Canis lupus familiaris: one gene and its partners. The protein of the gene in region 6 purifies or fractionates together with the protein of the main gene of each other region. This does not show direct contact. Links are inferred from orthologs where the notes say so. Each region holds a gene or a part of one and is shown on either strand. Other genes may lie near its edges. The genes, in order: FRAT1, GSKIP, PRUNE1, AXIN2, NBR1, GSK3A and CTNNB1.

The links.
Region 1: the proteins of GSK3A (region 6) and FRAT1 purify together in Homo sapiens (affinity purification with mass spectrometry; 4 studies listed by BioGRID and IntAct, with this or other methods). This does not show direct contact. The link is inferred for Canis lupus familiaris from reciprocal best matches to the Homo sapiens genes GSK3A and FRAT1.
Region 2: the proteins of GSK3A (region 6) and GSKIP purify together in Homo sapiens (affinity purification with mass spectrometry; 7 studies listed by BioGRID and IntAct, with this or other methods). This does not show direct contact. The link is inferred for Canis lupus familiaris from reciprocal best matches to the Homo sapiens genes GSK3A and GSKIP.
Region 3: the proteins of GSK3A (region 6) and PRUNE1 purify together in Homo sapiens (affinity purification with mass spectrometry; 3 studies listed by BioGRID and IntAct, with this or other methods). This does not show direct contact. The link is inferred for Canis lupus familiaris from reciprocal best matches to the Homo sapiens genes GSK3A and PRUNE1.
Region 4: the proteins of GSK3A (region 6) and AXIN2 purify together in Homo sapiens (affinity purification with mass spectrometry; 3 studies listed by BioGRID and IntAct, with this or other methods). This does not show direct contact. The link is inferred for Canis lupus familiaris from reciprocal best matches to the Homo sapiens genes GSK3A and AXIN2.
Region 5: the proteins of GSK3A (region 6) and NBR1 purify together in Homo sapiens (affinity purification with western blotting; 3 studies listed by BioGRID and IntAct, with this or other methods). This does not show direct contact. The link is inferred for Canis lupus familiaris from reciprocal best matches to the Homo sapiens genes GSK3A and NBR1.
Region 7: the proteins of GSK3A (region 6) and CTNNB1 purify together in Homo sapiens (affinity purification with mass spectrometry; 3 studies listed by BioGRID and IntAct, with this or other methods). This does not show direct contact. The link is inferred for Canis lupus familiaris from reciprocal best matches to the Homo sapiens genes GSK3A and CTNNB1.

Annotation. Positions count from the first base shown.
Region 1 is NC_049249.1:10,818,193-10,822,250, forward strand, and holds FRAT1 (proto-oncogene FRAT1), read left to right. Parts: upstream 1-1,722; 5' UTR 1,723-1,765; coding exon 1,766-2,611; 3' UTR 2,612-3,147; downstream 3,148-4,058. UniProt on the Homo sapiens protein: Positively regulates the Wnt signaling pathway by stabilizing beta-catenin through the association with GSK-3. May play a role in tumor progression and collaborate with PIM1 and MYC in lymphomagenesis.
Region 2 is NC_049229.1:65,459,191-65,462,455, reverse strand, and holds the end of GSKIP (GSK3B-interacting protein), read right to left. Parts: intron 2,834-3,265; coding exon 2,678-2,833; 3' UTR 923-2,677; downstream 1-922. UniProt on the Homo sapiens protein: A-kinase anchoring protein for GSK3B and PKA that regulates or facilitates their kinase activity towards their targets.
Region 3 is NC_049238.1:60,761,086-60,765,717, forward strand, and holds the start of PRUNE1 (exopolyphosphatase PRUNE1), read left to right. Parts: upstream 1-1,489; 5' UTR 1,490-1,495; coding exon 1,496-1,816; intron 1,817-4,632. UniProt on the Homo sapiens protein: Phosphodiesterase (PDE) that has higher activity toward cAMP than cGMP, as substrate. Plays a role in cell proliferation, migration and differentiation, and acts as a negative regulator of NME1. Plays a role in the regulation of neurogenesis.
Region 4 is NC_049230.1:12,339,442-12,343,638, forward strand, and holds part of AXIN2 (axin-2), read right to left. Parts: intron 4,039-4,197; coding exon 3,805-4,038; intron 3,265-3,804; coding exon 3,169-3,264; intron 1,936-3,168; coding exon 1,768-1,935; intron 620-1,767; exon of another isoform or gene 1-619. UniProt on the Homo sapiens protein: Inhibitor of the Wnt signaling pathway. Down-regulates beta-catenin. Probably facilitate the phosphorylation of beta-catenin and APC by GSK3B.
Region 5 is NC_049230.1:19,804,026-19,808,222, forward strand, and holds part of NBR1 (next to BRCA1 gene 1 protein), read right to left. Parts: intron 2,927-4,197; coding exon 2,521-2,926; intron 1,687-2,520; coding exon 1,592-1,686; intron 927-1,591; coding exon 869-926; intron 30-868; coding exon 1-29. UniProt on the Homo sapiens protein: Ubiquitin-binding autophagy adapter that participates in different processes including host defense or intracellular homeostasis.
Region 6 is NC_049222.1:112,856,589-112,861,446, reverse strand, and holds the start of GSK3A (glycogen synthase kinase-3 alpha), read right to left. Parts: upstream 2,994-4,858; coding exon 2,711-2,993; intron 797-2,710; coding exon 609-796; intron 1-608. UniProt on the Homo sapiens protein: Constitutively active protein kinase that acts as a negative regulator in the hormonal control of glucose homeostasis, Wnt signaling and regulation of transcription factors and microtubules, by phosphorylating and inactivating glycogen synthase (GYS1 or GYS2), CTNNB1/beta-catenin, APC and AXIN1.
Region 7 is NC_049244.1:10,788,660-10,793,298, forward strand, and holds the start of CTNNB1 (catenin beta-1), read left to right. Parts: upstream 1-1,713; 5' UTR 1,714-1,755; coding exon 1,756-1,768; intron 1,769-2,199; coding exon 2,200-2,427; intron 2,428-2,629; coding exon 2,630-2,883; intron 2,884-3,007; coding exon 3,008-3,246; intron 3,247-3,334; coding exon 3,335-3,536; intron 3,537-4,639. UniProt on the Homo sapiens protein: Key downstream component of the canonical Wnt signaling pathway.

The DNA of each region.
Region 1 (4,058 bases), on a different chromosome or scaffold from region 6:
ATCCTGGAGACCCTGAATCGAGTCCCACGTCAGGCTCCCTGCATGGAAGCCTGCCTCTCCCTCTGCCTGGGTCTCTGCCTCTCTCTCCATGTGTCTCTCATGAATAAATAAATAAAATCTTAAAAAAATATATTCAAAAATAAATAAATAAATAAATAAATAAATAAATAAATAAATAAATAAATAAAGTAGCTCCCTACAGCCTGGTTTCTGTATTTGTGTGTATACGCATCCCATCATGGCTAGTTTTAAAAACAGCTTTATGGACATATAATTTTATATATGAAATTCATTCATTTTAAGAGAACATTCAATAATTTTCAGTAAATTTACTAAGTTATTCAATCATCACCATAATCCGGTTTTGAATATTTTTCTTAGCCTGCTAATATATCTCCCCTGGTTGGCTCTTAAAGACTGGGCCACCAAAAGTCCATCTACAAGTGTAGAGTTTGAAAGTGAGGTCTGATTGGAGATTTTTAAAGAAGGTTTTATTTATTCATTCATGAGACACACAGAGACATAGGCAGAGGGAGAAGCAAGCAGGCTCCCTGAAGGGAGCAAGATGTGGGACTCCATCTGGGAACTCCGGGATCACACCCTGAGCTGAAGGGAGACGCTCAACCACCGAGCCACTCAGGCGTCACTGATTTGGGATTTCTGAATAAGTCTAATACCTCCAGGCAACAAGACAGTAAGGGATCATTTTTCCATCCCTCTTCCTTTAAAAAAAAAAAAAAAAAAAGTCTTGGTTAATCATTAAGCCAACCATGATATCTTGAAGAGTTAAACGGATCCATATCTCCATTACCATCCAAACAACTCGTTTTCCTCTCCTGCTTCCCCTTCAGAGAAGACACTCCCCAGCTGCTGAGGCATTCTTAAAAGAACTTTCTAGCTCAGCTCACACCCCGCCCAAGACCAACGACCTCCTCCTCTCCAGGAAGGCCAGCCCTAGTCCAGGCCCGCATATACCCATGCTCCGGGTCAAGAAGCATTCATCGGGCCTTTCCCTGCCAATTCTAACGCTGCCACCGCTTCCCCACGCCCCGACCCCATCCAACTACGAGGTCCCGGTCTTCCTTTCCGTCCCTGTCAGCCTTGTTTCCCTAATCTCCGGACCGATCCCTAGCCTCAGATCTCCGCCCGCGCCTCGCTCGCCGGGGCAGCCCTTCCCAGACGCTGGCACCCGGACCTCCAAAGTGCAAATGCCAAAACCAGACGAGTTGACGCGCCTAGAGGAGGAGAGTGTGTGGGTGTAAGTGTCTGTGCTGGTGTGTGGAAGAAACCAACCGCGTCCACGCGGGTGTTCATTTTCGGGAAATGCCAACCACGCCCGGCTGACAGAGCGACGATCCGCACCCCCGCGCCCCCCTGCACGCAGCACTCGGGGTGGGGCAGCTCGGAAGCTGCTGGGCTTCACCCTGCGCCCCGGCCGGGAGGGCGCCCCGCCCCCAGCCGTACCCCGCCCCCCCGGCCCGGCGCGGTGGTAGGGCCCGGCCGCGACGTCACCCATTGTTTACAAATCAACCCGAGCCGGTAGGATTCCGGCTCCCGCTGCTGCAGGCGCGCGGCGCGAGTGCCTGGCGGGCTCCGGCTTCCGCGTCCGCCCCGGCCCGGCCCGGCCCGGCCCCGGCCCCGGCCTCGCCCCCGCGTCGGCCCCCGCCCCGCGCCCCGCGCCCCGCGCCCCGCGGCCCTCCGAGCCCCGCCGGCCGCCGAGCCGCCAGCGCCGGCCGCACAGCGCCGGGTGCCCGGGCGGGGGGCCATGCCGTGCCGGAGGGAGGAGGAAGAGGAAGCCGGCGAGGAAGCGGAGGGGGAGGCGGAGGAGGAGGAGGAGGACAGCTTCCTCCTGCTGGAGCAGTCGGTGACGCTGGGCGGCTCGGGCGAGGTGGACCTGCTGGTGGCCCAGATCGGCGAGACGCTGCAGCTGGACGCGGCGCAGGACAGCCCGGCCTCCCCGTGCGCGCCCCCGGGGCCGCCGCCGCAGCCCCCGCGGCCCCCGGCGGCCGTGCGGGCGGACAAGGCCCGGCCCCCCGCGCTGCCGCTGCTTCTGCCGCCCGCGCCGGCCGAGGCGGTGGGCCCGGCGCCCCCGGGGGCCCTGCGCTGCGCCCTCGGGGACCGCGGCCGCGTGCGGGGTCGGGCTGCGCCCTACTTCGTGGCCGAGCTCGCCGCGGGCCCCAGCGCGTTGTCGCCGCTGGCCCCTCAGCCCGGCCTTGACGGGCCCTCGGGAGCGGACAAGCGGGCCGCCCCGCAGCCGCTGTCGGGCCCGTGCCGGCGGGGGTGGCTGCGGGGCGCCGCCGCCTCCCGCCGCCTCCAGCAGCGACGCGGGCCCCAGCCCGAATCCCGCACCGGCGACGACGACCCGCACCGGCTCCTGCAGCAGCTGGTGCTCTCGGGGAACCTCATCAAGGAGGCGGTGCGGAGGCTTCATTCGCGACGGCTGCAGATACACGCAAAGCTTCCCCAGCGCCCGCTCTCCGGGCCGCTGTCGGCCCCGGTGCATGAGCCCCCGTCTCCCCGCAGCCCTCGGGCGGCCTGCAGCTTCTCCGGCGCGTCCGGGAGGAGGGCGCAGCCCCGAACTGGCGACGGCGTTCCTGTCCCTGGCAGCTAACGCCCCGGGAGTGGCCACAGCGCCAGCCTCTGCCTGGAGGGCAGGGGAGCCCCCAGAGGGCTACATCCCTACTCGGACGGACTGGTGAACTCGCGTTTTGGAAGCGGGAAAATAAGCTAATGCAGACGAGGAATGGAAAAACCGCGAATGTTTTCGCGGGGAACTAATGGAGGGCCCCCGATGCGTTTGAGAAACAGAAGAACTTGGGTGCCCTGTTTGAGGCAGATTACCGAGCGCACCCCAAGCTCACATCCAGTGGTACTCCCCGTTCGGCGTGGCCAGCCCCCGCGGTGCAGCGAGCAGATCCACGCAGCCGAGCCAGTGGGACCCTCCAGCCCAGCGGCCATGTGGCCACGTTCCACGCGTCTCTGGATCGCGCGCGCCCAAAGGACGAGGGTGACCCCAGTTACTGGCTTTACCTTTTCAGGGCTGGTTCCTGATCCACTTTGGGGGAGGGGAACATGAGTCAGACCATCATTTCAGGGAGAACCTCAAACTGCCAGACTTGAAAAATTTACGACTCTTTAAAAAACCCATCTTGTGTCTTGTGGGTGCTGGTTCTTAACGCAAAACACGCGGTGCCATCAAAGGACCTTTTTTGGGAGTTGAATGGGAGTAAGGTTCGCGCTGCCCCCGCTGTGCGACGGGGGGCGGGGGCGGCTGCGCGCCGGCGAGGGGAGGCGGGGGCGGCGGTGCCGCGGCGCGGGGAGGTGGGAGTCGGCGAAGTCTTCCTCTCTGGGAGATTTTCCCTGCGTCCCCCTCCTCGGGTTCAAGGTCAGGGTTCCCCCAGCGCCCGCGGGGGTGCGGGGCTCCCGTAGAGCGGAAGAGTTGCCGGGTTCCGCCTGTGCCCGGGAGAAGCGCCCGGTGCTGTGCAAGTGCTGGAGTCTCCTAAGGACGCGCGCCCCGCGGCCGCCGCCGCTGCGGGCCGAGGGGGACGTGCCGGGCCGGTGCCCACCGCGGCCCGCCGCGCCCCGGGCTTTCAGAAAGTGCCCCGAGCCTCAGCCTGGGTCGGGCCGCCCCCGCCCCCGCCCCCACCTCCCCGCCTCGGCTCGGCTCGGCTCGGCGGTCCCACTCCAAGCGGGTGGCGCTGGCGCTCCTTGGGGCCCGGGCTGGGGGCTGGGGAGACGCCACGTGACGGGCCCTCCGGGGACACAGCCTCGCACAGCAGCTTATAATGGACTCTCCGGGGCCATTTGCAATAACAGCTGCAATTCCCTGGATACACGGAGTTGGTTTCCTCCCTCCGCCCCTCCCCCAGCCATGCCCGCTCGCCTTTGTAAGTGAAGGAAACCGAGTAGAAAATGTGACCCTCCAAACGGAGAAGCTGCAGGCTTTGCCATTGTGAGCCGTGGTGAAGTGCGTTTAGCATACTTTTCACTTACTCTTGAGGGATCTAAATCCGTTTTGTTGGTGTTTAAGTTTTAAAAGATTCAATGGCTTGTTCATC
Region 2 (3,265 bases), on a different chromosome or scaffold from region 6:
TGCAGTGAGCGAGGGGAGGAAGCCAACCATCAGGACACCATTGGTGGCTGATTTGCTGTTGGTGACCTGGAGTAAAGGTGGGGAGGGTGTCGTCGTGGGAAAGGAGGTGGGCATTCTTTGTCTCTTCAAGGATCCTGGGAGTGAACACTCAACCCAGCTTGGTGCTTTTGCTAGAGAAACGTTCTTTAGCTGGTTGAAACCCTGGATCTGTTGTATTTCCCCTTCCAATTAGTGCATACAGGCTAACGCAGAAATTGAGAGTATGAAGGGGATGAAAATGACCTATCTCATCACCTAGTGAGAGCTACTACTAACATTGTAGATTTTCCAGGAATAGATCATAGTTTTATATCCTTTTCTAAATCATGCAGTGTATTTTCCTATTGCCATTTTTTCATGATTTTTTAATGGCTGCATATTTTTCCATCAAGAGCACATGATGTGCTTTTTAGAGCCTTTCCAACTCTCCATTAAAGAAAATGAATATTCTTGTAGTGTATCTTCTGCTGAATCTTTTCTCCATGCTAGATTGCTAGGATATTACCAGTACAGAAGTTACAAGCTTTGTAAAGGCTCTATTACCCAATATTTTCTGGAAAGGTTTCATTGAATGCCCCTCACTAAATCCTTATTGATATCATTATATTTAAATAACGAAGATTATTAAGTTGTTAGGTTAAATACAGAGCTAAACTCTTTTCCTTTCTTGAATTACTGGTCAGGTTGAATATCTTTCAAGTGGTTACTGGACATCCATACATTTTTTTTCAAGTTGTTTGATTATATTACATGCCCACTGTTCTTGTTTTCTTATTGACTTGTAAGAGTTACTTATTTAGAGGCTTTTTCTTTTTTTCCCCTTTTGGAAGTGACATCAATGATTAATTTATCTGATTAAATTCTTTAAACAAGCTAGATGAAATGGAAGTTTCAGTATCTGTATAGTTTTATTAATGTCTTTTCACTCTGTTCCTCTTTCATAATGATAAAAAGAGCAAATCACTTCACAGCAAAATGTAACCATACAGAATTCAAAAATGGACATGGAAGCTCCTGGAACCAGTCATTTATCACAAAATGAACAAAGTCAATTTTTGAATGTACAATCACTTTTCTTCATACTTAACTCGAAATGAGTAAACAGAATTTTATTCGAACTTTACAAATATCCTTTACATTTATTTAGCCTGAGATTAAGCGTGAGAAAATCTGACCTGCAGTTAGATATCACTGCCCAAACAGTTAGCATCTGAAAATAAAGCTGCAAATGGACATGCATTTACCAAACACAAATAAATCATCCTGATGGACTCTGACAATGAATACTGACCCAAACCGAACTTCAATGTGGTTCTACATGATCTTCGGAGCCCAAAAGTGTCTATTACTAAATAATGATTAAAAAAAAAAAAGTCTGCAAATGACAAATTATGAAGGTGTGTCCCAATGCAGAATTTTACTTCAACATTTCTACAGCTGCTGCTTTAGTAGTACTACTAAAAAATCGACTCCCCAATCCTTAGTATTCAATATGTACTTGAAAACATGTAGCAGCATGGTACGATTCATTTTTATAAATATTAGTACCTGTAATAAAATATAAAAAGAGAGTCTCCCTTTTTCAAATATCAAGTCTCTGAATGCTTCATTCATCCTTTGGTTTCAAACCCATACAATGCAGGCATATTACATTGTAGATTTAGCTTTGAGAAAGAATACTGTGCATCTGTTGGGGAGGGAGGGGTGCTAGGGAATACCAAAGCACTACAGTATAGAAAGGAAACATTGAAGCAAAAATACTTTCTGAATATATACTGTACATCATGTAAACAAACATTCATAATAAGAATCAACACAGGCCAAAATATTGTTTTCTGGGAATTCAGAATCTTCTTCCTTTTGAATCACACACACACTGAAGATGATTTTTGTTAAGAAAAATGGTGCCTGTTCCTATATTTGCTTATGTGCTTAAATATCTTGGAAACAATTATTACATTCATTTGCTAACGGTTTGTCCTCTTAGTTGGCTGGCTGTTGCAAACAAGGAATACAGAACTATTATTTCAGTACCTGTTTTCCATTTAATACTAGCTAAGTAATATATATAATTAATTCATCTTTATCAGTCCCTATTAGTAATATAAATAGATTAAGTGAAGCAGTGAATTTCAAAATTTGTGCAGGGGAAACTAGTTGATAATTTGTTTCCAATAAGGCTAGTAGCAAAATAATTACTACAAAGTCAGTCCAAGCTAGTAGTAAACCCCTGATTTAGCAAGCTGAATCCATGTAGGTCATTTTAATTCCTGTTATATTACTGTGCAAATCTAGAATTTCCTATGTAAAAGAGAGTGCTGGTAGCATCAAAATCCTGTAATAACAGAATGAAATACTGATTAGGTTTTGAAATGCAGAGCTACTATATGAAGAAATCTGAATGTCTTAACGACAGTATCACAGCAATGGCCTCAGGATTCCCTTAAGGAATCCGAAACTAAGAAAGACAATTCATTAGTCAGTAATGTTCTGAGGCAGAAGCCTAAATTTGAAGCAAGGAATGGACATAAAACCAAAAATGCGTTTTCTACTATGACCATATGCAAGTATTTCAAGCTTTATGTCAACATTTTGTACCAGCAGCAGCCCCCTCTAGAAGGAAACAGCTTGGTCACGACTATCCATCCCTCTTCAAAGCTTCCAGTCTTTGAAGGAGTGCGTTTCCAAATGCTTCCCGGTAGGCAGGGCTGAGTGTATCCAGCAACGAGTAGACAGTTTCATGATAGGGAGTGTGTAAGTGATCATCCACTTGGTCAAAAGCATAACCTACCACCTACAAGAGAAATGCAACAGTGGATCAAATAACTAGATTTAACTTGGTACAGAAAACAAAAATGTGTTTACTGGGGCCATTCTTCAATGACTCAATTTCTCAATCAATAGAATATGCATATTTCTTTTTTTTTAAGATTTATTTATTTATTTGATAGAGAGAAAGAGAGAGATATCACAAGCAGAGGGAGTGGCAGAGGGAGAGGCATGCCCCTATCTGAGCAGGAAGCCTGATGTGGGGCTTATGACCTGAGCCAAAGGCAGATGCTCAACCCACTGAGCCATCCAGGCACCCTGACTAAGTGTATTTCTAAGCAGTCTGAAACTTAAAGGAACATCATAAACAAAATGCCCTCTTTATCATCTTTTTCTCAAAATGTAAAAGGTTTAATTTACCTACTCCTGAACCTAAAAAGGGATGTCAGAAGAAATG
Region 3 (4,632 bases), on a different chromosome or scaffold from region 6:
ACCCTTTCTCTTCCCTCCGCCTGCCTCTGAAAGGGACGGAGCGCTTGTGCCTCTCTGGTGAGAAGAGGGAAGAGCAAGTGCCCTTGCGGAGCGTGGGGAGGAGCAGGGCTGGACAGCAGCAGCTGGTTGGATTTGAGCTTTCTCCGTGGATATGGCAGGCCTTTGGTCTGGACCCACAGAAGCAGTGCCAAAGAGCACGATATTTGCATATTTATTCATTTAAAGTAAAAAGAAATTCTGCTATTTTCTAAGCCTTTATGTATCTTTTTTTTTTTTTTTTTTTCCCCTTAGAAATGGACCTGGTTGGGCTGTGCCCCTGGAGGTCCTCTACACGACTCCCCAGACTCTGGGAAGACAAGGAGAGAACTAGCCGAGCAAGCAGGAGATCTAATACCCCTGGGCTCTGGTCCTCTGTCCCAACACAGGCCTCACCTCCTTTCAACTTCTGGGGTGGGCGTGGGGAGGGGAGAGCAGGAAAAGCTGGCAGTAAGAAATCCAGGGAGGGTCGGTAAGGGAGGGGCATTTGATGATCAGTTCACGTATTGGCAGCACCCTACACCACCATGGGGCTGGAAGGTGGCAGTTAGGGGAGGCTGGAACCCAGCTCCACATTCTGAAGGGCCCTCCTCCCTTGACTTACAAGGCTACTGCAGGATGAAACTTCAAGCAGCTCTGAAGGCTGAAAGGGCAGTTTGAGCAATTAGGGAGGCAGGGAGCAAAAACCCCAGGTTACAACCGTCCATGAGGAGGCATTTGCCAAGGCTGTAGACAGACGGGCTACTGGGCGGTAAAGTAGCAGCAGGAGTCGGCAAGAGGCCGTAGGTATTAGGTGAAGAAGAGGGGTCGAAGGTGATTCTAATGTTTTTATAACACGGACAGCAGAAAATTGGCGGCAGTGGGTCCGTTTGGTAAAGGGGAGAATTCGAGAAAGGCAGGCTAAGCTGTTTTTGCCTTGTGTAATTTAAGATGCCAGCCAGATGCTCGATGTAATCTATGGAAAGATGCTATACTTAGCCCGACTCGAGAGATGCCACCAACGCAGGTTACTGTGACACATATACATTTCTCTGTCAAATGAGTAATCTCGGAAAATTATTCTCTCCTCGATTCTTACAGCCATTTCGGAGCTGCCGGACTACGTTTCCCAGGACGCCCTCCGCCACGCCCCACTGCGCGCCTCCCGGGTCCCGTGAGTCTCCGGGCGCAGAGCTCCGCCCCCGCCGTCGGGGGCGGGGCGACGTCCGATTCCAGGAGCCCCGGATTACGCACTTCCTCCGGGGGCTGGGGAAATGAGTCGCGGTGTGGCGGGTTCGAGTCCCGCCTCCTGACTTTCGCCCCGAGCCCCTGAGTCCCGAGCGGGGCGCGTCCGCCGGGTAACCTCTCCACGGCCAGGGGCGGTGGCACACCTGGGACTTCACCATGGAGGACTACCTGCAGGGTTGTCGAGCCGCTCTGCAGGTAACGAATCCCGGGCTGTGGCTGTAAGGAATGGAGCATGAGGTCCAGGAGGAGCGAAGATGTGGGATCCGGGGAGCCCGGATGGTGTGTGGGGAGCGGGCTTGGGACCACATCGGGTTGGGGCCAGAGGACCGAGGAAGGAGAACCTAGCCTTGGGGAGTGCTGCTCAGTCTCCCGGCTTTTGGCCCCCGTCTTTGGGGTCTCCCCAAGGGCTGGGAGGAGGACCTGCATCCCAGCCTCTGCTCGCTGTTGCCCGGCTCCGTTCCGTGGAGCGGTGAAGGGCTGTGCCGTCGCCAGTCGTGCCCCCCTTCCTCTTTCCGCCCACTCGCGGGGGCCTCCGCGGCCGGCAGGCCTCCAGGTGAGTCCCGGGGTACTAGGGAGCCTGTGCCCACGGATTAAGCCTCAGAAGAGCTGTTTCTGTCTGGCGGGCCGAGCTCATTCTAGATGAGAGAATCGTGGTTTGACTTTAAATCTGTTTTTAAGCTAAACGTGCTCAGTGCCTCAGGCAGATCTGTTGTTGACCAAAAACTTGCATTCCTTTGCCTCCAGTTTTCTTCTGTGGCCTTAACTCACATAAATTACATAAGAAACCCCCCCGCCTGGGAGGGCTAAACAAAGTGTGTTTGGAATCAAAGCTATAAGCTTGACTCCTGAATGCTTTGTGGCTTATTTTTGGTACTCTGAGCTGGTTGGAATCTCCCAGCTGAGTTGACCACCCGTCAGGCCGCATCAGGCTGCTGTTCCCAGTTAGCAGCTAAGAGCTGACCAGAGAGAGGCTCCAGGAGGTCACCTGGCTCCCCTACTTCAAGTTACACTGCCCATATGGAGACCTAGACAGATGGCTGACAGGTGCTTTCTTTGAAGTGTCTTAAACTCTGCACATTCCCCTGGCGGATAGATTCTGGTCTTTGACAAAATCCTAGAAATTACCTGTTTCCTACTGCCCACTCCGCTGCTGGCGTAAATGACTGTCCTCACCTGAAGTATAGGGACAAAAGACAAGTTTAATACTAATTGCACTAGATTTTTCCTTTTGGGAAAGTTGATTTAATGCATAGGGCGATTTGGAAGCAATTCATTTGGTTACATCTGATTTCCACCACATGGAGCTCATTGGAGGACTAAGGTAGAATCTTTATGGCACTCCAAGTGCTAAGCAGGTGAAATGTTTGCCTCCACAGTAACGCAAACTACAGGCCTCCTTTCCACCATTTGGATGGAAACCTCACCAAATAGCCTTTTATTGCATGCATCTATCCTTCAACATCTATGCTTTAGAGTTCCCCCGGGTTAACTATCTTCTACAGCAATATGGAGCTGAAGAATACTGGGTTTTTCCAGTATTGCTGGAATCCTGACCTTTTTTTGCCTGCTTCATCCCCAAGGAGCAAGATCTAGGTCTTTGTTTTTCCGAACTTGTGAAGGTGAGGTTGTATCTTAGAGTTATTATTACACAACTTGGCCAGGGCTGGAAGAAATGAAAAAATCGGACTCACAGAATGTTAGTGGAGGAACTGGTGGCAGGACACACAGGTGGTCGCCAATAATTTAAATAGGTTTTATTATTATTATTATTATTTTAAAGATGTATTTCAGAGACAGAGAGAGACAGAGACATAGGCAGAGAGAGAAGCAGGCTCCATGCAAGGAGCCCGATGTGGGACTCATCCGGGATCCCAGGATCACGCCTCGAGCCAAAGGCAGACAGACGCTTTACCGCTGAGCCACCCAGGTGTCCCTAGATAGCTTTTAATTATAGAATAGTAAATGCATACAGTGAAAAAATTTAAATACAAGAGAGATGTGAAATGAAAAAGAACAAGATCTTTTTTTCTACTCCCCATCCAGTTCCCCAGAGGCCTCACTGTTGTTTTTTGGTAAAGAAAGACATGATTTAGCCAGAGATTCTATTTAAAGTTTGGGTGTTTCCGTTAGGTTAACTCTTTGGGAAATGTGAATGCTTGACTTTTACATGGGAGAAAGACAGCTTATAACCCACCAACTGTCCTGTTGATAGCATATTTTTTCTCTGGCATCTGATACCAGAGAAATTTTTTACAGCCTCTGCCATAACGATAGTAGGATGTTCCATTTAAAAGAAATCCTGTTTAACTAAATGTCCTATTCATGGTAACTCATCTTTTAATTCTAGTAGGGAAAAACCTTTGCTTCAGGGTGGAGCTGCAATCTAGTGTAGTATTCATCCAGCGGCCTTCGGATAATCTGTTGTCTGCACTGCTCAACACATAAGGCAGGAATCGGAAGGCAGGAATCAGGAGTGGCTGCTGTCCTTCAGACATTACAGTCCTTTCGTCAGTATCTGTACCATTGTGCTGGGAGAACTCTGTCTCTGGCTCCCTGTCTATTTCTCTCTCTCTCTCTTTTTTTTTTTTTTTTTTCTTAAGATTTTATCCATCCATTCATGAGAGACACAGAGACACACACACACACAGGCAGAGGGAGAAGCAGGCTCTGCTCAGGGAGCCCAGCGTGGGACTCGATCCCAGGTCTCCAGGATAGGGCCCCGGGCCGAAGGAGGCACCAAACTGCTGAGCCACCCGGGCTGCCCCCTCTCTTTTTTTTTTCCCTCCCTTATTAACTATTTTGTAGAGTAGGCCACTAGACTGTATTCAGCTTCAGAAGGAAAGTGGGTGCCTTTTCCAGCCTTAGAGCCCATCCTCACTCCCCGCATTGAGGCCAGAAAGAACATCAGAATACAGTCATTGTGACTTGTGGGTTTGGGTGTTTTATTTGTTAGGAAGAAAAGTTTGTATTTACATGGGGCTTTCAGATTGTATTTCTTGGATTGGCAGCTCAGGTTTCCTCATGTTCTAAGTATAGCTATATCTGCCCTCAGCTCTTCCTCTCATGGTCAGAAAAGTGAGGCTGTTTGGCTTGTGCTGTCAGCTGGTAGAGGATAGGGTAGAGATGGGGTGTTAAGAGTTACATATGTTTTTCCTTTTTTTAAAAAAAATTTATTTATTTATTCATGAGAGACACACAGAGAGAGGCAGAGACACAGGCAGAGGGAGAAGCAGGCTCCCTGCAGGGAGCCCGATGTGGGACTCCATCCCGGGACTCCAGGATCACTCCCTGAGCTGAAGGCAGATGCTTAACCGCTGAGCCACCCAGGTGTCCCAGTATTATCATTTTTAAAACAAAAGATGAATCTTA
Region 4 (4,197 bases), on a different chromosome or scaffold from region 6:
GGCAAACTTTGCTTTCTTCTGACATCTGGCACCAATAGCGTCTGGCACGTCTGGAGAGACTGTTCTCCTTTTGAACCTCTGCCATGTTGAGATTACTCAGTGCAGCCCAGGTCCCCCCACTCGGCGGCCCCATCCTCGCCGGGCTTTTTATTGGGAGGGTGGGGGGGGGGCGCTGCAGGACGGGAGCACCACCCCTGCTGGGAGGGCCAGGCAGGGCACCCGGTGCCTCCACGAGCCAGGAGGGCAAGGGGTCCAGCTCCGGCCGGAGAGCCAGGCCAGGGAGATAAGGCGGCCGGGAAGGGTCTGGCCACAGCCTGATCCAATCAGTAAAGAATTTGAGAGTCAACCATTTGTGCAAGTCTTTGTGCGTTAAAAGGGAGGCCGGGGCTTCAAAGCCAGGCTTATTAAGTGCGCCTTAGGAAAAAAAAAAAAAAAATCAGAGCCAGATGTGGCCGGAGTGGCTGAGCGCGAAGCCTCCCCGGTAGCCTCTGCTCGGCGCTCCATGGCCCTGCTCCCCTGAAGGTCACCTGCAGTTCCACTCAAAGTCCAGCCGAGTCAGAGCTGAGATCAAAATGAATCCCTGGAGGGGCACACTTGTGTAATTAGTTTCACCTTGTGTCTGTTCAAGATAAAAAAAAAAAGAAAAAGAGGAAGAAGAGGAAGAAGCAGCAGCCAGGCCTGCTCCCCAATCCCTTGGATACATTTTCCTGAATTGTCTCTGCCCTGGTGTCAGATGGAAAGATCTAGAGCCCAGCTCCACACCCAGCTCTCCTCAGTCCCTTACAGGATCCTCAGCCCCGAACCCCATCGTTTCCCAGCAAAAGGAATCCCTCTGGGCCCCTGCCCCCAAGCAGCTGCCAGGACCAGGGGCTCCGGAAGCTGGTGCCCTCCTGGCCGGGGGCTGAGTGCCAAGCAGCTTCTCCACGCCCACCTCCGGCTCCCGGTGGGATGGGCTGGCACCTTCTGAGCACATACTGGACCCCTCCCTGAAGTGTGTGCCCAGCACCTTGATGCCCCTGGCCTGCCCACGTATTCCCTTGGGACGATGGCCACGGAGAAGGGGCAGTGACGACTCTAGATGAACGGAGGTGGGGTCATCACCCACCCCCCATTAAGGAGAAGGGAACCCAGGAATGGGCCCTGCTCTTGAGTCCTCTCTGGGGCCCTCGAAGGCCCCCAGAAGGGGAAGGGGGGCTGGAGGGAGGTGAGTGCCCATCCTCCTCTGCTACGGATAGAAGAGCTCTCCGGCTTCACGTGAGCCGTTCACCACGGCGAGGCAGTTCTGTGGGCAGGAGGGCTGCGGGCGAGGGAGGAGAGGCGGTCTCTGCTTCCAGGCAGTGGCCTCTGCCCTTCCCCACGCTGGCTGTGTGGACGATCTCTCCTACACCCGAGCTTCCTCATCGTCTGTCTGTCCCTCCCCGACACACATACGGCCCTCTCCCTTTTGGGAAGGGCCTCTGCAAGATGGCCCCAGCCCAGCTCTCCTGGCCGAGCTCTGTGCCCTCAGAGTCTCATTCACCTGGTAGAAAAAGCCCATCCAGGTCCCCACAGAGCCCTCCCAGGGCCTCCCTGCTGCTGCTGCTGTGTTATTTCTGTCAGTGGTGAGGGGAGAGAGGAAATGAGAAGGAGCACAAGCGCCAGGCAGCCCCACGGCTGCCCCGAGCGCCTCCTGAGCCCCTCCCGGGTCCGCCAGGCCAGCGACGCGACTCTGGCTCTTGCTTCTGAGCAAACAAACTCTGGAGCAGCGAGAAGCCGCAGGGCTCTTACCTATAATTTCCCTTTTTGCTGAGCTGCTCTTTAAAGTGGCCCAGGGTCAAGCTCTGAGCCTTCAGCATCCTCCTGTATGGAATTTCTTCTCCACAGAAAAAGTATGTGACGACCAACTCGCTGGCCTGGAGCGCGTGGACCCCCGCCAGCTTCTTTGGCTCTTTGTGACTGAGAAATAAGATGGAATGCAACAAGTTTTAGCATTTGCAGGCAGCAAGTGCACACACGACGCACACACGCACAAGCACGGGCTCTCGAACACGTTCTCCGCAGGGAAAGGGCTGCAGCTAGATGCTCAAAGGGGCCTGGGTGCAGGGCCCCCCATCACAGGGGCCACCGCCTCGGTGGCACACAGCCCCGGGCACCCAGGAAGGGACAATGTCCTTTGGGCTGTACACGGCTGCTACTGTCCCCCTCACGACCACCAAATGGGGGGCCGGAAGATGGGTGCGGAATAGTCTCTTTCAGGATAGCACAACCAGGGTGCCTGCCAGTGAAGACGAGGAGGGAAGCTGTCACAGAGAACGTGGGTTCACTCAGCCCAACTGGGGAATGCTGCAGAGGCAAACCCAGACCGGCTCCCGAGACGGCATGGATGCCAGAGCCCACTGGGAGGGTCGGCCCTATCATTCTGACCTCCCTCGTTTATTCTTCAAGTTTGCAGAGTGGCTTTACAAAAAAAAAAAAAAAAGCTGCAGGCCTGGACAGCTGGTACACCTAAGGTCAACCAACGAAAAGGGTGGTGGCTCATTCACGGGCTGCAAACATGGCTCATTGCCCAAGATGAACAAGCTAAGGAAGAAAACTTCAATTATTTAGACCATGTTAGACTCCCATGGCCCATTTCTTTCTGAACGCACCCTCCCATAATTAAACGAAGCCAGGCTACTTGGTCGGCAGGAATGTAAACTTATGGGAAGAATCATGGCACAACTGGTGAAGACACTCCATTACCCCCAAGCAAAACAATAACTGTTCTCTATGTCTGCGATGGTGGAGAATCATCTTCTGGCTCCCTGCGACGAGACATTTCCGACCCAGTAGCGTGCAAGCTGAGTGAGGGCAACTTTTGCATCCGGGCCTGGGGACCCCTCTAATCCATGTGCTAATGGCTTCACGTCTCCGCTTCTGCTCAGTGTGTGCCCAGGCACCCCGAGCCACCCGTCACTTCAGGGAACAACGCCTGTGTACGAGTCACAACACGTTGCCCCGTACAGGCAGGGTTTTCAAGGTCCTAATTTATGGCCACATCTGCATTCACCAGCCCGTGTTGCTACTGTTAAAACCAAGGTGATTTTATATGCTAGAAAAAGTTCTCCAAAATCTCAATGCCAGGGAGTCAAGACCCTGAAACACACGCCCCCTCGGGGGCCCTCAGCCACGTCAGGTGAAGACACTCACTCTTCTGAAGCCAGGCCTGGGTTGGAGAAGGGCGTGGCTCCTGTCTGACCAGTGGCCGAGTGGTTCCTGTCCCTCTGCTGACTGGCTGCACAGCACCTGAGGACAGAGTCGGAGCAGAGGACCGAGAATGAGCCTGCTGTCCCCGGGCAAGCGGGGAGCAGACGGGAAAGCTGTCCTCTGCAGGCCCGAGCTGTAGGCCCGACTTCCATCCCCGGGGAACGCCATCCTGAGCCCCCGGGGAGCCCAGAATGGGGCAGGATGACACCAGCCCAGACAAAGGGCTGAGGCTCTAGATTCTCCATCAGCCGTGGCTTCTTATGTGCCAGCCCTGCGTGATGGTGATGGGGGCATTTGTCAGGGATGGGATTTGTAAGGAACTACCACAATTCATCCTCTTTCTGGGCCTGACCTGCCTAACGGACAGATCCTGGACAGCTCTTCAGAGCAAACAGAAGTTAAAGGAACAATTTCTAGCAGGTGGGAAGGAGACCGGTATGTGGCCAGAAGCCATCCCTCCTCCCTGAGGAGCAACTGAGATGCAGGCCAAGAGGGCCCCTTCCCTTGTGCTACAGGCCAGGGCTCCCCCTCCAGACCCAACCTCTGCCTTCCCGTCTGTGCTGTGCTGCTGCTACTCACCGCTGCTTTGGGGGCTTGGACACCTCGGCCAGCCGGCGGCAGGCCTCCTCCAGCTGTGCCAGCGTGTTGGGCGGGGTCAGGGGAGGCATGGCGGGGTCCTGGGTGAACGGGTGGGCTCGGGGGGCGGCACGGGGGTGCCCGTTGCTACCCCCCAGCAGGTGGTGCCGGCCAGCTCGCTCGGCTGGGGACGCACGGGCCGACTCCAAGGGGTAAGCCTTCTTTGTGCTTTGGGCACTGAACATGGAGCAAGAGAGAAAGCAGAAGGAAAGAAACTGGGTTAGAAAAACTGGAAAATGTGACCTCAGTAGAAACTTCTCTATCCTGCCTTCAAAGAGAAGAGAAAAAAAATGACCCTACCATCACACGGACAGGGGGCGTTGCCAAAACATGGCA
Region 5 (4,197 bases), on a different chromosome or scaffold from region 6:
CAGCAATGCTGCTCCCATGGTGGTGGTGCCTGGGGAGGAAAACCACATTATTTCCCTAAAAACCACAAACCATTATCTTCCTACAAGATAATCTGGGCTCTAATCCTTGAAAGAAAATGGATTTCCCTGGGGTGTGACCCCGGGAGAATGTGACCGTTTTTCTAGTAGTTTTACAGCTACGAACCTTGGTTAGATGTGGAGCTCAGCTCTACTGCTGCAAAATAAGGGCATACAGAAAACACACCCCCTCTGGTGAGTATACCAGCTTTCTGTCCCAGCTGAAAACTATGTGGTCAAGGGCACAGAGGGGGTATTTAGCAGTCTGCTCAGTTAACCATCTTAGAGGATATACCCCCAAAGGAAATGTGATTTTCTGGGCACTGTAGTGAGGGAGGAGTCCATCTTACCAGTGATCTGAGATGACTGGGAGCAGTGAGGCAGGTGTGTCTAAGAAACTGTTACTAAGATGCACAGTGGGCTTGACCTTCCTGCCTTCTCTTTTGGTACTAAGGTGAGCTGAATTTGAGAACACTGGTCTGGAATATGGAAACTTTTTCTTTCCCCAAAGATTTTATTTTTTTAAGTAATCTCTACACCCAATGTGGGGCTCAAACTCATAACCCAAGATCAAGAGTTACATGCTCTACAGACTGAGTCAGCCAGGTATCCTGGAATGTGAACACTCTTAAATGTAACTGTAGCCCTCTGTTCAGTGTTGCTCACAAGCATCAGAAGAAATAAGAACAAGAAGGAATGATGGCTCTCCTTTGCCCTCTGGAGGTGGCACATGCTTTGAGAAGCTTATTTAAGCAGAAGCAGTATTAGGATATCCACCTGCTTCTGAAGAGGCTGCACAAGGTCCAGTTACCTTGAGTGGTCATAGCTCTTCTGTCTGCTGTTTACAAGTCCTGATGAGCCTCTGGGCTCTAAAAGCAAAAGAGCTATTGGTTAGAAGCAGCATCCACAAGTGCCTACTGTTTCTAACTCAGAGTGAAGCTAGTTTTGAGAGGCAAGCAGCAATCTGATCACAGCACTTAGTCTTTTTTTGGGGGTCGGATTTTGCAAGTGGCTTTAAGTGATAAGAAAGAACTCTCCAGAATGCGATGCAAGGTGACTATTTATTGAGCCAGAAAAACTTGGTCTAAAATCTTATCAACCCATTTATTAGTTTCAAAATACTTTTGGGGTTTTGTTTTTGTGATTAAGAGTGGGAAGTGACTTTGAAGGTTTACTAACAACTTCAAGGTGCTATTCTCCTTAATTTGGAGATAAGAAAACACCCCTGTAGGTTTTATGACTGTGCTGAACTGCTTCAAGGTCACACAGTGTGGAAAGGTGGAGCTGGGCCTGAAACCTAGACTAGTCTAGCACCACAGTCTGTGTTCTTTCCACTGTAGCACAATGCCCACCTCTGTGAGGTCTCATTTAATAAATATTAAGCTGGAGAACAGAAAAGGAGGGAGGGCCACAGAAAAAAGCAAGGGCAGGTTTCTGAATAATGCCAAGAATCACAAAGACACAATGCCTATTTATGCCTGGTGTCATCAGACAGGAGCACAGAAAAAGACATCAAGTGCAGGCTGGTCATTACCTCCTCTGATCTGATCAGGGACTGAAGAAACTTCTGGTATGATAACAGGTAAATCCACTCCCGGGGAACCATCAGGCTGTGCACAAGGAGAGCTCCTTTCAGAAAGACACAATATTGAAAGTCAGTTGAAAAGGCACCTATGGGAACACTGGAGAAACAGTGCACGTGGCACAGCAGTACCAGATTCTCTATAAAGGCTTCACTTTTCTGATCCAGATCTCATGTCTGAGGTAGGGATCAGGTAGAAAGGGCTCACTCTACTGGTTTTCCTTTTCAGTCATAGTCAACCTGGAGAGAGACCAGCTTCAGTTGGGTGGCTCCACGCCTACATCAAGTGGTACTAATAAAGGGAAATGTTTAGCTCCCCGAGAGTGGTTTAAATCCTAGTTAAGGCTCCACCATCTGCCATGCCACAACAGAGCAATGACACACACAAATTGATAATGAAAAATAATTGTACTCTCATTTTAGAATATATGTATTTTTTATAATAGATTAAACATCCTATTATACTTTGGGTTAACAAGAAAATATATTTTTGCTGTCTTTATCCATGCGTCAATAGAGTGGGGAAGGAAGGTCCAGGGATGTATTTCAAAACTGGCTCTCTTAGATCCAGGGTTTCAACAGCAAAAGAAAAAAAAAAACAAAAAAAACAAAAACCCTAAAACAAACCAAACCAAACACTGGCTCTCAACAATCAAAACAGAAGTAGACAGACTATACAAAGATAATTAAGAATAAGCACAGCTTTAAATTCAGGATCCACAAATTCTGGGAAATACAACTTTTATTCATCTAAATTCAGACTTTCCTATGGGAAATAATCCCTTCCCATTCTGACAAACAAAACAGGTTCTGACATCAAGTTGTTTCCTCTCTATTCCACCTGTAAAGAAGAGCCCAGCTGAGTGGGGTGTGGATGGTACCTGGACAGTTGTGGTGGAGGCCCCACCACCTCTGGGGTCAGAGGTACTGTGTCCAGAGTCTGTGAGGTCATGAGGATGTCATTGATGCTCTGCCCCTGCAACTGGTTCTCCCCTTCAGCAAGCCTCTCCCCAGCCTCAATCCCAGGTTCACCTTCAGCCCCTCGCTCTAGGCCTGGCTGTGAGAGTGCAGAGCTGTACATGGAGTCGCCCAGGGGACGACTAGTGTCAAAGCACTCGGGCAGGATGATGATGTAATCCTCTGAAGAAGTAGAGGACTGACTCTGAACTTCATCTTTGAGCTCATCCTCCTCTTCCTCCTCCTCCTCCACGACAACTTCTTTGGTGTAATGGACAACATCCTCCTGTTCATCTCCAAGTGGTCCCTCTTCAGGGGAAGCAGATTTCACTAGAGGATGAGAGCAATCAATTTTCAGCTATAAGCTACAATCATGAAAGCCAGAGTAGAGGGATGGCCAGAGGGAAGGGCTGCTGCTAGAACCACTTGTGGCCACATTAAAAGTCTGAAGCCTAAGCAAAGCCAGAAAGAACCAAGCTCACAAGGTACAGAGAAACACCAAGGCCTCTGAGAAGCACCATGAATCTTAAAAACAAATCAAAACTGATACATTAGCTAATAGAGCTATAACAAGAGAAAACATTAAGTGGTTAGTACCACAGGGCTATACGCTTACTTTCCTCCTTTTCTTTGCAAAGTAACGGATAGTCATGGCAGAAAATTGGCAAAGTGAGGATGAGGGAATAAAGAGATATCTATAATCCTTTCAGAGATAACTACCGTGAACATTTTTTGTTATGCATATGTACATAAGCGTGTGTGTGTGTATGAGAAATGAATGTATGTGTGGGGGAAAGGAGTGTGTGTATTTTCAACAAAAGTGAGACAAATATAGTATTTAAAGGTATAGATAAAATTTCATTATAATAAACATAAACTTTCCCACATTATTTTGATGAACTAGAATTTGAATTTTCAGATAGTTCTTGAAATACACAGTATGGGCTCTACCTATCTTATATCTAGATATTTCTGTTATAGGGCAGCCCAGGTGGCTCAGCGGTTTAGCGCTGCCTTTGGCCTGGGGCACGATCCTGGAGACCTGGGATCAAGTCCCACGTTGGACTCCCTGCATGGAGCCTGCTTCTCCCTCTGCCTGTGTCTCTGCCTCTCTCTCTCTCATCTTTGTGTATTCTCATGAATAAATAAATAAAATCTTAAAAAAAAAAATTCTGTTGTAAAGGAAATTGACTACAGCAGAATTAATTAATTAAAGATTTTACTTATTTATTCGTAAGTCAGAGAGACAGAGACAGGCAATACATAGGCAGAGGGAGAAGCAGGCTCCCTATGGGGAGCTCAATACAGGACACAATCCCAGGATCCCAGGATCATGCCCTGAGCTGAAGGCAGATGTGCAACTACTGAGTCACCCAGCCGCCCTGACTTTGGCAGAATTTAACCTTGGGAAACTTAGTTTATTTTTTTATTTTTAAAATTTTTTTATTTATTCATTGAGACACACACACACACACACACACACACACAGAGGCAGAGACACAAGCAGAGGGAGAAGCAGGCTCCATACAGGAAGCTTGATGCGGGACTCGATCTGGGGTCTCCAAGATTACACTCCAGGCTGTAGGCGGCGCTAAACCGCT
Region 6 (4,858 bases):
AGTCCTCGCAACACCGATCAGCCCTCAACTTCCACCTCCCCCATGTCCTCCTTGTTCCCTGGGCCTCCACTAGGTTACAGGGCACAGCTGTGTGAAGGAGGAATGGGGGACAGATCTCCCCACCACGGCATGTGGTTTGGTGAGTGTGGGGCAGGCTGCATTTCACCCTGCACTTGGCCAAGCACCTGGGTCAGGGCATGACCTTCACAAACACGCTCATCACCTCCACCAGCTTCCTGCCCGCTCTGTGCAGAAGGGTAGCTTTGTGCGTGAAGTGGAAGGCTTCGGAATCAGGCAAGCCAGAGTCTAGTCTTGCCCTCAAGTCAACTCTCTTCTACGAGTCTCAGTCTTAAGACACCGATACCTACCCTCAAACGATCTTTACGGGAGTTAGATAAGAACTTGCCCTTGTTACAAAGCACTTCACGCCAATCCAAAAGCCAGTAAACACCATCCTGGGCTCTCTGGGAACCCGCATGCCTATCTTCCACACAATTCACTCCCTTCTCTTTCCCTACTCTGGCCCATGTTCAGGTCCCCTGTGGAAAGCCAATTCCAGCCCTCTCGCCTATCACACCTGGTTACACCTCCTTGTCCCCACTTGCTACCTTGAACCTTTTGTCCTGGAGAACCTTCTTGATGGCCACCAGTTCCCTGGTCTCAGCCAGCCGTGCCTGGTACACGACCCCAAATGAGCCATTGCCAATCACTTTGATGTCTGTGTAAGCCACCTCCTGGGAGCGCTCCGGGCCTTGGCCTAGAGTGGCTACCACTGTGGTCACCTTCCCGCTGTCACCTGGGGAACAAAGGGGACACACAATCCACTGACCATCCCCCTTGCCACCACCCAATCATAGGGCTGTGGGAAGGAGGGGAATCACTACAAGGTGCTTACTAGGGGCCTCCTCATCCCCTCATCTTGGAGCAAAGATGGGTGTCAGATGCCTCCAGGTGTACTTTCTCCTTTTCCCTCCAGGGAATGCTAAATCCTGCCTCTTCTTCTGTGGGAGGACACTGACATCTAAACCTCTTGCTGTTCAAGCGTTGATAAGCTGTAATTTCTATGCCTGATAAGCAGCAAATCACTGGTCCCTCTTGGTTCGAGGGCAGCCTCACACTTGCAGATGTTGACTCCATCGACTCAGAGCTTACTGCCTGCTGGGGCCCCCTCCTGCCTGGGGAAAGCCTGACCCAATCTCTTCCATTTAATACAGCAGCAACCCTAAGGTACTTTGACTTTCAGCAAGCACTAGTTTTTGTCACAGCTTGGGGAACAGTGACCTCTAAGTCCTCATTGGTAGAGCTGGTAACTGCCACTGGTTTTCGGTGGCAGAAAGGACTCCTTCAGACTTAAGTGCCAGTGCCAGGACTCTCACTTTTTGGGGAGAGCTAGCCCGTCCCAAATACTTTGGGGTTAGAAAAAGTGCTGACATGACCTCCTCATCTGTGTGACCCAGAGCCCTAGACCCTTTCATGTATTTGGAGGGGTCCCCAGTGGGCAAGTACTAAGTTCTGAGAATGGCGAATCTGACCTCCGTTAACCAGGGGCTAGCCAAGCCTCGGTCCTCCAAAGGAAAGCTGTAACCCCTAGCTCCATTCTCCAAACAGCAGCAAACTTTTGTGGCGTTCTTAGAGAAAAGTGGCCCCTTTACTTTGGGGAACCATCAGACCCCAAAGAAAAGGAGTCACTGATGAATCAAACCCATTTTGAGGGGGCAGTGACACCTTTTGGAAAGAGATGATCCTACACAGCTGTTCTTCCACAGCCAGTGACACCACACCTCAGAACATGGGTTTAACCTCAGATCCATATCCTATGGGGAACTATGACCCTCCCCTGACCCTGTTTCATTTTTGTGGAAGAAGACCCACCACTATAAGTTTTTCATTTTCCTTGGTGTTTTGGGTTTGTTGTTTTTTTTTATTTTTTTTTTATTAAGCAAATTCTACCCTCAATGTAGAGCTCGAACTCACAACCCTGAGATCCAGAGTTGCATGCTCTACCGACTGAACCAGCCAGGCGCCCCAAGCCAAGCTTTCAAAAGAACACTGACTACAGACTTGGTCTGCAGAATACAATGATTCCTAGTTTGTCCTTATTTCTAAGAAGCAACAATCATTAATTTCTACCACCGGGGATACAGTTTTACCTGTTACAGATGGGGTGATGGTAACTGATCTTGCGTTTTAAAAGGAAAGACTGCCTGGGTACCAGGTTTGGGAAGCCCTGGCCCAATCCTTCCCGGCCAGAGTGACCCCTAAACCATTTCCATGTGATATTCACTCCAAATCCCCATCCTCTAGAGGGGAGCAAATTCAGACCCCCCTCTTCTGAGGTGATGGTAATCTCATTCTTTTTGGGAACAATAACTCTCTAGCCCCATTTGCAAGTGATGACTCCTGATCCTGTTGTCTAATGGATGGCAACATCAGATTCCTGTTTTTGAGGCTTAAGGATCCAAGCCCTAGGCATCGGAAGAACAGGAACCTGTGACCCCTGTTTTGTGGAGAATTACTAAATCTAATCCTAAACTCCAATTGATGGTGACCCCTCAAATCCCTTTCTCTGGGAGGGGGAGACCTCAGATCCCATCTTTGGGAAGCACACTGAGCTGGAGCTCCTATCTGGGCATACTGAAGAACCTGATCGACGTCTGAAGGGCTTCAGGAACCCAGATCTCCACCCCCCACGGACGCTGCTAATACTCACGGCCCAGCTTCACTCCCGGCGGCGGGAAGCTAGTGCCCGCACCCGGGCCGCCGCTGCCTCCTCCGCCGCTGCCGGTGGGGCCGCCCCCGGAGCTCGAGGCCCCCACGCCCCCACCCATGGCTCCGACTGACGCCTTCCCACCGCCGCTGCCGCCCGGGCCGGAGGCCGAGCCCCCGGGGCCGCCGCCGCCGCCGCCGCCTCCGCCGCCTGGCTCCGCGAACGAGCTGGTCCGCGCCCGGCCCGAGCCCCCAGGGCCGCCCCCTGAAGGCGCGCCGCCGCTCATGGCGCCGAGCGCAGGCCCAGGCCGCGGGGCTCGGGCTGCCCGGGCTGCCCCCGCCGCCGCCGCTGCCGCCGCCTCCCCCGGGCTCTGGCCTCTTCCAGGCCGCGCCGCTCGGGCTCCGGCTCCGGCCCAGCGCCCGCCGCGGGGCACGCCGGGAGATGCAGTCCGCCTGCCCTACGCGCCGCCGTCGCCGCCCTCGGTCGGCACAGAGAACCGCGGGGCACGCCGGGAAATGGAGTCTGCAAAGGCTTCAGAGCTGACCGCGGGGGATGACGGGTCGCGCTGCTCGTCAGGAAATAGAGTCCTAGGCAATAAGTCGGCCGACTGTGTAGACGGCGGACCCTCAAGTACTTTGAGAAGTGGAGTCAGAGTCACACACTCGCTCCACTGCAGCAACTGCGAGCGCTAGATGTGCTTCAGAAATGCAGTTGAAGCCACTCTTTTCGGAGAGCTTTGTAGTCCTGATGCACGCCGGGAAACGGAGTCCAGACGCTCATTTAGTCTATTGGTTGTGTATGCCGGTCAGCGCCAGGTGCACTGTGGGAAATTGAGTCGGCGCCGGTGCATCCGCAGATATCAGGCCGTGAAGCAAGCCGGGAAATGGAGTCGTCGCCACGCCCTCACCGCATTGCAGGTGTACCGCGACTGCCAAAGTACGCCGGGAAATGGAGTCCCATGTGCTCCCCAAGCCCCAAGTGGACACTGCTATTACGGAGATAGGCTAGGAAATAGAATAGGTAGGTACGGCGTTCCTCTGCCCTCTTATGGTGGGTCGCAGTTCCTGCCGGGAAATGTAGTCGACACCAACGCTTCGGAGTAGTTGCCACAGTGAGCCTTTGTGTCTTCTGGGAAATGGAGTTCAAGGCAGACTCATTTGACTGAGGGGGAGGGATCTACCAGGAGCCCGAAGAATGCTGGGTAATAGTCCAGACCGGATCCTAACCCTTTGAGACGAGACTGCAGAGGCTCGCTGGGAAGTGTAGTCCAATCGGTACATTTGGGAAAGCGTGAGCCAAATGTGGAAGACGTCAATCCCCTGGGAAGATTGCAGTGTTCAACGCCTCCTTACCCTCCTCAGACCCCAAGAAAAAGCTGAAGTTGGTCAGGGGCTGCGGTAAAATGGAGCCCAAACATTCCAAATTCCAAGTTTCCACAAATCAGGAAGGAAAAACCCTCCCTCAAACAATTTGGGGAACAAAGTTCCCGGTGGTCTCTCAGAACAATAGTCTTCTAGCTTTTTCTACCGACGCGGGTTCACCAAGAGGCTGAGACGAGCATTAAAGCAGGTGAAAAAATTTCCGTTTTGCATCTCCTTTCAGCCTTTTGCGTACTCCCGCCTTCTAAGTTTACAGGATCCAGGAGGGCCCAAAACAAGGAAGCCGGCTAAGAGTAGCCTCGGGTTTTGTGCACGGACTAGGTCGCCCTATTTATCGATTAATAACCGGAAAGACTAATTTCAAAGGACCCTGGGAAATGAAGTTCGTGCGAGGGAGCGTGTGTGTGTGTGTGTGTGTGTGTGTGCGCGCGCCGGAAATATTTGGAACTAGAATGAAATCATCCTCGGCCCCTCCTATCCCCTAGAATAATGGGAAATGGAGTCTCTAGACGTTCACTTTAATCTGAGTCTATGTTCATACTGTCTTGCCCTTTCTGAAGCCTGAAGTCTCGTTCACTAGGTCTGACTGCAATTCGCAGCGGACCCACAAAGCCTTAGGGCCCCGGCAGTCTCGCGAAAGCCTTCTGGGACTACATTAACCAGAAGCCAAAGCGCGGACATACTTCCGCTACCTTTTCAATGAACGCGGCTGCATTAAGGAACAGTCCAGAGCGGGGGCTTCTGGGAGTGGTAGTTTTTCGGTCAAGTGGTG
Region 7 (4,639 bases), on a different chromosome or scaffold from region 6:
TCACTTGAATCTTGAACAATGTAGCAGTTAGGGGCACAACCCCTGCACAGTCTGAAATCTGCGTGTAACTTTTTACTTGCCAAAAACTTAACTGATAGCTGACTGTTGACCAGAAGCCTTACCAATAACATAAACAGTTGAGTAATGCATATTTTGTATGTATATCATAGTGACTGGTTTCTGAGCCCGGTGGCATTAGCCAAAGGAGGAGCCCAAGATAGAACATATTTTTTTTAAGTCGCCTTTCCGGGAAATATACCTGGGAGCTGGAGTGGAGCTCTCAGTTTCCAGAGAGGTGGAAAAATAAAAGCTAAAATGCAGCTTCAGTGAGTAGAGAACATGGGTATTTCTTAAAGTGTGGTCTGTAGAAATCTTCATTAAAAATTTAGGTTTCTATGCCCCACTCTAGTCCTGTTGAATCAAAACGTTAAACACGTAATCCCACTTGGTATCTTAAAAGATTCTTATTGACAGGAATCACCTTTATTATTTTCTGACCTTCATTTTGTCATGTAAAAAAAGATCATCAGTTGTGTTTCTACTGTGGACACTAAACAATTGTATCCATAACTCTTGTTATCTTTACATATCAAGTGACCTTTGTGGCTATAAAAATCTAGTACTGCAAGAGCAATTTTAGGAATAATTAACACATGCTTCCTTTACATAGAGCACATAGGACTTCAGAGTGTAGTTTCCAACTTCTTTAAACATTTAAACTCCTTTTTACATGGATAGAGTACTCACTTCATGCTTAAATATTTTAGTCCATATCTTTACATATTGGTAAACCAATATGTTAAGTTGTAGTGTAAGATGAACTTGTTTACGGGAATACTTTGTGATAAAGGAAATGTTATTATTAGGAATATCTGGTGGTTGTGAGCCTTTACAAGACCCACAGTTCTAATTTGCAAGTAGTTTCCCATGTGATTCAGTGTTTTCCTATTACACAGTGAGGCCAAAATGTAAACATAGATGCTAGGATTTACATATATATAAATTATGTATTTATATATATAGTACTTTTGTAATATATATATATTTTTTGTAATGATCAAAACAGCATTCTGGTCGGTAATAGTTGTATTTATAATACATCCATACTATAAATTTGAACTAGACAGATTTTACTAAAAGGGTGATTATTGTGTTGCAGATTTACATTTGAAAAGTAATTTTAGTTAGTAACAGATCTCAAACCCAGTGTTCTGATCCAGTCAGCAAAACCTACTTTGTATTTTAGATGTCTTTGTATTCTATCAGGAAAGAAAAACCATTAGTGAAAATCTAGTTTTTTTTTAAAGTCCATGTCCAGTCTCACCAGAAAGATCTCTGAATTTTTCAGTGAAAGAAGTTAAAAAGAGAGGGGAGAGGTATTTTGGGAATTCGAGGAGTTATTTCCTACCTTGGCTTTCACTATAAATTTTCTTCCTCCTCAACAATAATTAAGCTTTCTGACATCCTGAATAACTGTAATTTGTATTTCTACCTAAAAAGAGGTGTTTACTAAAAGAGGTTCAGCAGTGGTGGAGCTGTGGGGAGTGTATTAAGGAGACCATGGAGTCTGGCTTTCACTCTCACATGGTAAAGGGGGATTTGGGGGCTTTTTGTGGATATAATCCATGATGTTTAGCAGGTCATCCTAGTGACTTAAAAGTACTAAAAACTAATTTTAAATCCTAATGACTTGATTAACTCTTTTAGGGTACCTGAAGCACACCATACAACGGTTTTGAAAATCCTGTGTGGGGAATGGCTACCCAAGGTTTGTATCAAAAGTCTTTAGTTACTGAATCGGGGCTCTGCTTCATTGCCATTAACCCAGTCTGGCTCAGATCCCCCTGCTTTACTCTCTCCCTGCTTACTTGTCAGGCTACCTTTTGCTCCATTTTCTGCTCACTCCTCCTAATGGCTTGGTGAAATAGCAAACAAGCCACCAGCAGGAATCTAGTCTGGATGACTGCTTCTGGAGCCTGGATGCAGTACCATTCTTCCACTAATTCAGTGAGTAACTGTTAGGTGGTCCCTTAAGAGTATAGATATTTCATCACTGAGCTAATCCTGGCTATCGTTGTTTATTCTTGGCTGACTTTCAGATTTGACTATTTCTAACAATATTTCAATGGGTCATCACAGATATTTTAATGAATATAACATCTCCATGGTGGTAATGCTAATATTGTTTGATTTTTATAGCTGATTTGATGGAGCTGGACATGGCCATGGAGCCAGACAGAAAAGCAGCTGTTAGTCACTGGCAGCAACAGTCTTACCTGGATTCTGGAATCCATTCTGGTGCCACTACCACAGCTCCTTCTCTCAGTGGTAAAGGCAATCCCGAGGAAGAAGATGTGGATACCACCCAAGTCCTGTATGAGTGGGAACAGGGCTTTTCTCAATCCTTCACTCAAGAACAAGTAGCTGGTAAGTATTTTATTGCCTTAATAAAAGTTAGAAGGCAATTTTAAGAATGATTCTTTAAAAAGTTAGTATGTAATAGCTTAAATAAAATGGTGTGGTAAAGAAAACATGGAGTGATTGTAATGTTACCTTTACCACTTAGGGTAGCACAAATTCAGGTGAATGCTGAATTATGGACAGTGAGTGTTGAATTTATTTTTTCCAGATATTGATGGTCAGTATGCAATGACTCGAGCTCAGAGGGTGCGGGCTGCTATGTTCCCTGAGACATTAGATGAAGGCATGCAGATCCCATCTACACAGTTCGATGCTGCTCATCCTACTAATGTCCAGCGTTTGGCTGAACCATCACAGATGCTGAAACATGCAGTTGTAAATTTGATTAACTATCAAGATGATGCAGAACTTGCCACACGTGCAATCCCTGAACTGACAAAACTGCTAAATGATGAGGACCAGGTAAGTAAGGACATGGCTAGCTTTTAATCTGCTTTAAAGGAAACTCTCAAGGAGCCTCAGAATGTTTATCCGGTATCAGTATTTGAAAATCATAATTCTGTCTCTTAATTCCTATACATTATAGGTGGTGGTTAATAAGGCTGCAGTTATGGTCCATCAGCTTTCTAAAAAGGAAGCTTCCAGACACGCCATCATGCGTTCTCCTCAGATGGTGTCTGCTATTGTACGCACCATGCAGAATACAAATGATGTGGAAACAGCTCGCTGTACTGCTGGGACCTTGCACAATCTTTCTCATCATCGTGAGGGCTTGCTGGCCATCTTTAAGTCTGGGGGCATTCCTGCCCTGGTGAAGATGCTTGGGTAAGAAAACATGGTTAGGATGCTTGAAGCTAAGGAGGAGAAGGGTGCCATCACAGCCTTTCTGATGAGGCTTTTTTTTTCTTCCCAGTTCACCAGTGGATTCTGTATTATTTTATGCCATTACAACTCTCCACAACCTTTTATTACATCAAGAAGGAGCTAAAATGGCAGTGCGTTTAGCTGGTGGACTGCAGAAAATGGTTGCCTTGCTCAACAAAACAAATGTTAAATTCTTGGCTATTACAACAGACTGCCTTCAGATTTTAGCTTACGGGAATCAAGAAAGCAAGGTAAAAGAATTTTTCTGAGTATGGCTCATGGAGCATTGGGGAATCCAGTGTCATGTCCTTCTGTGGACTCTTGCACATTCTTTGTATGCCTCACCCTTTGTGTGTATCCTAGAAAAAAAGCTGGACATCTCTTTTTCTTTAAATATTTGTTTATATAAGGCTAGGTGATAAGGATATAGTGGGCATACTTAGAGCTTTCATACTTAGGTGGAAGATAGGCACTAATTAGAGATAATAACCTAATTACTATTTAATTCATGTATCTGGAAGAAGTAGAGGGGCTGTGATAGCATATACGTGAACCACACCCTGCTTGGAAGGTTTAGAGAGACCAGTGGAAGGAAGTGATAGTGGAGTTCAGTTCACAAGGATGAGGAAAGACTGACTAGGTGAAGGTGAGAGAGAGGAATTGACACCTTTGAAAGTCCTACTGAGAGAGGAGAGGGATGAATTTACAGAGTAAAGAAGAGGAAAGGTTTGAGATGAGAGTATTGAGATTAGCAGGGAAGGTCCTTCAGGGCCTTGTAGAATATGTTTTTAAAAAGTAATGGAAAGCAGTTCAGTATCAGCAGAGGCATGAAGTGAGGAGATTTGTTTTTAGAAAATCAGGATAGTTTGGAAGTAGGGGTCTGCAGGAAAGTAAAGGGCAAGAATGAGTAATTATTTTATGATACTTCATTTTAAGTAGGTGAATAATGATTAGGAAAAGCCAAGAGCCAAATCATTAGGAGTTCTAAGCACCTGTTCTGGCTCAAATTTTCAAGAAATCTGCTTTGATATACCATTGATATATGGACAGTACTGTTGCATACCAACATGGTTTCTGTTTCTTTTGTTCTGATCAGTGTGAGAGGAAGAATATTGGGGAAAAGTTGAGATATTCTTGGGAGTACTGGGATGCCTGAATTTGAGTGGAATGGTGTAAGAGGGGCTAAACGTGGTCCCAGTATGGGAATCTGGGGTAATGGGGTTCAGGGATATATTTAGGTCAATGGCAAGCTGGCTGAAATTCTTGTATGATAAAAATGGGTTGGTAATGTGGCTTTTCTTGGGCATATGGTGAATGTTCCAAGTAGTGTGGCTTTTCTTGGGCATATGGTGAA